2 linked regions of the Oryctolagus cuniculus genome follow. The protein of the gene in region 1 interacts with the protein of each later gene in a pairwise test. Links are inferred from orthologs where the notes say so. Each region holds a gene or a part of one and is shown in the gene's direction. Other genes may lie near its edges.

What was found.
Region 2: the proteins of EHD3 (region 1) and MICALL1 interact in binary tests that used the Homo sapiens proteins (3 or more experiments, as listed by UniProt). The link is inferred for Oryctolagus cuniculus from reciprocal best matches to the Homo sapiens genes EHD3 and MICALL1.

The regions. Positions count from the first base shown.
Region 1 is NC_091433.1:171,394,618-171,397,084, reverse strand, and holds part of EHD3 (EH domain-containing protein 3), read left to right. Parts: intron 1-1,875; coding exon 1,876-2,403; 3' UTR 2,404-2,467. UniProt on the Homo sapiens protein: ATP- and membrane-binding protein that controls membrane reorganization/tubulation upon ATP hydrolysis. In vitro causes tubulation of endocytic membranes. Binding to phosphatidic acid induces its membrane tubulation activity.
Region 2 is NC_091442.1:114,741,448-114,745,260, forward strand, and holds part of MICALL1 (MICAL-like protein 1), read left to right. Parts: intron 1-308; coding exon 309-397; intron 398-1,127; coding exon 1,128-1,270; intron 1,271-1,276; exon of another isoform or gene 1,277-2,631; intron 2,632-3,010; exon of another isoform or gene 3,011-3,580; intron 3,581-3,732; coding exon 3,733-3,813. UniProt on the Homo sapiens protein: Lipid-binding protein with higher affinity for phosphatidic acid, a lipid enriched in recycling endosome membranes. On endosome membranes, acts as a downstream effector of Rab proteins recruiting cytosolic proteins to regulate membrane tubulation.

The DNA.
Region 1 (2,467 bases):
CACCTCTGTTTCTTACTCCATCTCCCTGCTAATGTACACTATGGGAGGCAGGCAGCAGGCGGTGGCTCTAGTACTTGGGTCGTCACCACCCACGTGGGAGACCAAGATTGAGTTCTGGGCTCCTGGCTTTGGCCCGAGACCAGCTGTTGTGGGCATTTGGGGAGTGAACCAGCAGGTGGAAGACTTTTCTATTTCTCTGTCTCTCTCTCAAATGAAATAAAAATAAATAAATTTTTAATTTTTTTTTCATCAGAATATTGGAAAACCAAAAGCTAGCAGCCACAGAAGCACGAGTAACAGACTTTGTTCTTGTGGTTATTGGCATCTTTAGGTTGGGAAGCAGGTTCTCAGCTGATCACAGGCACTGAGAGACATCTGCCATTTCCCATCTAGTGAAATTAAGAGGACCCACGCACACACATCCCAAGGAGGCATGTACCCCTGGTCATTCATCCCTAGAACCGCCTACTGGGAGCCAGGCACCGATCTCAAAACTGCTTGGTTGGAGCACTTCTGCTCTTTGTCTTTCGGTTCAGACTTTAATGATCTGTAGACAAATCTTTGGGAAGATGGCCTCTGAAAGGGGTCGCACACCTGCTTTTTAATATGAAGAAGCCTTGTGCAGCATCAGTGCTTTGCACTTCCTCATTTGTTTGCCTGTCTGGTGTCCTGTCTGCTCTGTAGATTCTACTAAATCAACAGGGTGAACGGCTGTCATGTGTGTGTGTGTGTGTGTGTGTGTGTGTGTGGTGGGGGTGATGGGCACACCCACCATGCCCCCACAGGTGACAATAGGAGCCCTACTTGGGAGCCTCTAGGGTTAAACACACAGGGAGAGGCATGTCTGCTGGGTTCCCAGACCACGATCAGCCCCCACTGCCTCCTAGCCTTGCCCCTAGGAGGGAGGTGAGAAGCATCCAGGTTCACACTCGCTCTTGAAATGTAGCTGAGGGTGTTTCTGAATTTCTCTGCAGTGAACCCAACACGCCTGTCCCTGTGTGCTGGCTTCCTCCCAGCGTTCTGGGGTTGCTATGGCCAGAGCCAGGGCAAGAACACAAAGTGCTCCCCTTGTCACCCCCTAGAGGCCAAGGAGAAGCTGGCTGTGGTAGACTAGGGCCTTTGAACGTGACAGAACCATACAGAGTGGAGGGTGGGTCGTCACACAGAGGCAAGGAAGGGAGCGTGGAAAGTCTGCTCCTGCCCCTCCCTCCGCTGAAACGCACAGGGGAGAAACCAGTGTTCTGAGAACTCTCTCCGGGTCATTCCCATGAGCATCCTCCTGGACATCTGTAGGTTGTGAGGATGGCTTTGGCTGCCAGTAGGGTTTGATTCCAGTTGCTCTCGGCTTCTCTCACTCACTGGGGGTGGAGTGTGACTTCTCAACCCCTTGGGGCAGTGACCGAGGGGACGCAGTGAAAGTACTCATAATGAAGCGTCTTCAAGCTTCATTAAAGCAGAGACCCCCGGACTCCAGTCCCAAGTCACCCTTCCCCCACGTGTATCCTATATTCTTATGAGCCAATTCCCATAAGCAACCACGCATGCCTGAGAAAGAAGAATCCATTCCACAGCCGAGCTGGCATAAAGAGAAGCGCGATGGTTTACTCTCAATCACAAGAGACCAAACCCATACTTGTTAAAGTCCCCTGTCCCTGCCACCTTTCTACTGCTCATAGACTCCATCCTGGCCCACTGTGCCTTTTCTCCTGTTCCTCTCTCCTGTCTTCCACGATTCTCCGAGGTGACCCACTTAGCCCTGGGGATAGGAGCTGGGCTGTGGACGTCCCGGCATTATTGGAAGCGCACCGCCAGCACGCGGCTGCTGCCTCCCTTCCTGTGTCTTCACTGTCTCCCTCCCTCCCTCCCTCTCCCCAGGACCAGCTCCAGGCCCAGGACTTCAGCAAATTCCAGCCGCTGAAGAGCAAGCTGCTGGAGGTGGTGGATGACATGCTGGCACACGACATTGCCCAGCTCATGGTGCTGGTGCGCCAGGAGGAGACCCAGCGGCCCGTCCAGATGGTGAAGGGAGGAGCGTTCGAGGGCACCCTGCACGGCCCCTTCGGGCATGGCTACGGGGAAGGGGCTGGGGAGGGCATCGACGATGCAGAGTGGGTGGTGGCCAGGGACAAGCCCATGTACGACGAGATCTTCTACACCCTGTCCCCGGTGGACGGCAAGATCACAGGCGCTAATGCGAAGAAGGAGATGGTGCGCTCCAAGCTGCCCAACAGTGTGCTGGGCAAGATCTGGAAGCTGGCAGACATTGACAAGGACGGCATGCTGGATGACGAGGAGTTCGCCCTGGCCAACCACCTCATCAAAGTCAAGCTGGAGGGGCACGAGCTGCCCAACGAGCTGCCCGCCCACCTCCTGCCCCCCTCCAAGAGGAAAGTCGCTGACTGACGGGATGAGGTGTGGCGGGAGGGGCTTCGACAGGCAGGTGTTGGAGATGGGAGTGGTGACCACA
Region 2 (3,813 bases), on another chromosome or scaffold:
GTCTCACAGGAGCCCAGGTCGAGGTGGGGTGGGGGAGGGCCCTGCCCCCGCCCTCCCTGTCACCCCAGGCACTGCCTCCCCCCCCACCCCCGCACCTGTGCTGTTGCCTTCTTGTTCCCCTCGGCTACCCGCAGTGGGAGTTCCCCCTCCCCTGCCCCACTTTACTGAGCTCAGCGGGGCCGGGCGCCTTGCCCTCCGCACATGGCCGGCCGTGCAGCTCCCAGCACACCCCTGTGCCCGGCCCTCCTCCAGGCCTGGGCCTCCAGGGTCTCCACGTGCCTCAGGGCCCCTCTCCTGTCTCTTGGCAGCTGGCGTGTCACCCCCCAGAAGGGACCCGGCAGCCTCCTCTCCGCCGGCTCTAGCGCCCCCTACAGAGGAACCGGGACAGGAGACTCAGGTAGGCAGGCATGGGGTGGGAAGGGGGTAGGGGGCAGCTGTCATGGCGGCGACTGTCACGCGGGGACTCTGGTCAGAGGATGTTCTCTGCCCTCGTCCCCGTGGGCCAGGGTGCCCTCCCGATTCCTGATCCAGTGTGACGGTTCAGTTCCGCAGGCAGCTCGGGGAGGTGGGTGCTGCAGGCCCCGAAACGCAGATGAGGAACCTAGGCTCAGGGAGGTTTAGTCATTTGCCCAAGGTCACTCAGCAGGGAAGCGGGGGCCGTGCTGCCTGTTCCAAAAAGCTTAGAGGAAGTGAGAGCAGCGCTTTGTACTGAGGGGCTCCGGGGAGGCTGGGATGGAGGCTGGCAGGGCTGTACCAGTCCAGTTTCCCCCGGGGGGATCCCAAGGCCCAGAGACTCGGGCAGCTGGCTCAAGGTCCCAGAGCTAGGAAGGGGAGAAGACAGATGAGGTGGGCCCAGGAGGCCAGTGGTCTGTCAGTCCCAAAGGGGAGGGCCCCAGGAACCAGGAACCACAGGTTTCCATCCTGGCTCCGGGCCTTGAGCGAGTCTCCCCCCTTTCTGCCCTTGGCTCCCGCAGGTGGGGGCAGGAGGCAGCCTGCTGTCCTCTGCCCTCTGCATCACCACCAGGAAGCTTGGCGCACGGGGGAGGAGGGGGACGGGGGGAGTGTTCTGGAACAGGGTGGCTGTGACCGGGCCCCCACCCCCTCTCCGCCTGTCCTGTGCCCTGCAGGTCGAGCAGCTCTCCTCGGGCAGCCTGTCGGAGCAGGGCACCCACCGGACTCCCAGCAGCACCTGCGCGGCCTGCCGGCAGCACGTGCACCTGGTGCAGCGGTACCTGGTGGAGGGCAGGCTCTACCATCGGCACTGCTTCCGGTGAGTGGCCAGGAGAGCTGGGGCAGGAGCCTGTTCCTACCATCCCCAGAGCCAGGGACTCGGCACCCACGCGTGGCTCATTCCCACTTCATCCATGAGCTCCCAGCAGCCCAAGCTCTTTGAGGGTGGCTACCTGTTGATGATTAAGGAACATCAAATACTTTTTAAAAAAAATCTTTTCTTTTGCCGGTGCTGGGGCTCACTAGACTAATCCTCCGCCTTGCGACGCCGGCACACCGGGTTCTAGTCCCGGTCGGGGCGCCGGATTCTGTCCCGGTTGCCCCTCTTCCAGGCCAGCTCTCTGCTGTGGCCCGGGAAGGCAGTGGAGGATGGCCCAAGTGCTTGGGCCCTGCACCCCATGGGAGACCAGGAGAAGCACCTGGCTCCTGCCTTCGGATCAGTGCAGTGTGCCGGCCGCAGCGCGCCGGCTGCGGCGGCCATTGGAGGGTGAACCAACGGCAAAGGAAGACCTTTCTCTCTGTCTCTCTCTCTCACTGTCCACTCTGCCTGTAAAAAAAAAAAAAAAAAAAAAACTTTTCTTTTTTTCTTTGTTTGAAAGGCAGAACGACAGAGTATTTCTGGTTCACTCCTAAGTGGGACAAAGGCCGGGGCTAGGTCAGGCCAAAGCCAGGAGCCCAGAACTCCGTCTAGGTCTCCGACCACCCGGGCCGTCTTCTGCTGCCTTCCCAGGTGCATTAGCAGGGAGCTGGATTGGAAGTGGAGCGCCCGGGACTTGAACCTGTGCTCATAGGGGTTGCTGGCACTGCAGGTGCCACTTAACCTGCTGCGCCACAGCACCAGCCACGGGAACAGTGTGTACTTTAAATGCCACTGAGAAAAGGGAAGAATTTTTTTAAAACCATAAGAACTTGCTTTAAGGGGAGTGAACCTGTGGATGGAAGATCCCTCGTTCTCTGTAACTCTGCCTTTCAGATAAATTTATTTTTTATTTTTTATTTATTTATTTATTTATTTTTGACAGGCAGAGTGGACAGTGAGAGAGAGAGAGAGAGAGAGAGAGAGAGAAAGGTCTTCCTTTGCCGTTGGTTCACCCTCCAATGGCCGCCACGGCCAGCGCTCTGTGGCCGGCACACCGCGCTGATCCGATGGCAGGAGCCAGGAGCCAGGTGCTTTTCCTGGTCTCCCATGGGGTGCAGGGCCCAAGCACCTGGGCCATCTTCCACTGCACTCCCTGGCCACAGCAGAGAGCTGGCCTGGAAGAGGGGCAACCGGGACAGAATCCGGAGCCCCGACCGGGACTAGAACCCGGTGTGCCGGCGCCGCTAGGCGGAGGATTAGCCTAGTGAGCCACGGCACCGGCCGCCTTTCAGATAAATAAGTAAATCTTAAAAAAAAGTGAGGCCGGCGCCGCGGCTCACTAGGCTAATCCTCCGCCTAGCGGCGCCGGCACACCGGGTTCTAGTCCCGGTCGGGGCGCCGGATTCTGTCCCGGTTGCCCCTCTTCCAGGCCAGCCCTCTGCTGTGGCCCGGGAGTGCAGTGGAGGATGGCCCAGGTGCTTGGGCCCTGCACCCCATGGGAGACCAGGAAAAGCACCTGGCTCCTGGCTCCTGCCATCGGATCAGCGCGGTGCGCCGGCCGCAGCGCGCCGGCCGCGGCGGCCATTGGAGGGTGAACCAACGGCAAAGGAAGACCTTTCTCTCTGTCTCTCTCTCTCACTGTCCACTCTGCCTGTCAAAAAAAAAAATAAAATAAAAAAAAAAAAAAAAAAAAAAAGTGAGAGAGAACTTTAAGTGTGTGACTCCCAGGGAAAGCCAGGCTTTAATAAAATGCACCAGGAGGCAAAGAAAATAAGAAACTTAGTAAATTGATGAAAACATCGTACACGTCACCAAAACAGCCCAACCAAAAACAGCAGAGAAGGAAACGGAACGGCCAGGAGAGGCCGACGACTGGATTCCAGCCTGCACCTGCTGTGGGTTAGTGCGGTGCCTGCGAGGGGACCCAGCGCAGAACTGGGGCGTCCTGGGGAGGAGCCGCAGGTTGCAGTAAACGCACTCGCAAAGGAAGCCAGAGGCGCTCCCGGCACACACAGCCGTGACGGGAGCTCGAGTCTGCGCGTGCACGGCTGGAGGCAGGGTCTGGGAGAACGGCCGGACTTTGCCGCCTTCTGGACTCGTTTGGGTGAAAGCCATTGATTGGACTTCCTGCCACGGCCACGTGGCCACACGCGCACTGTGTGGCACCTCTGCCGGGGACCCCGGCTTCTTCCTCTTGCAGCGCACGCCGGAGGCGCGTTTCACAATTCCTGTGGCCTATTGCACGTGACTTTAACTGTTCCACTCTGCTCCTGAGGGGTGCCGTTTTCCTTTTCCTCTGGGAGGTGCAGGGCGCTGCGCTGGGGTCCCTCTGGCCGGCAGTTGGGACGAGGGGCGGAGGGACAGCCAGTTGGGAGGAAGGGCGGAGGGACAGCCCAGCGAAGCCCCGTCCTGTCGCCCGGCAGGTGTCGGCAGTGTTCCAGCACCCTGCTCCCCGGGGCTTACAGGAGCGGGCCTGAGGAGGGCACCTTCGAGTGTGCAGAACA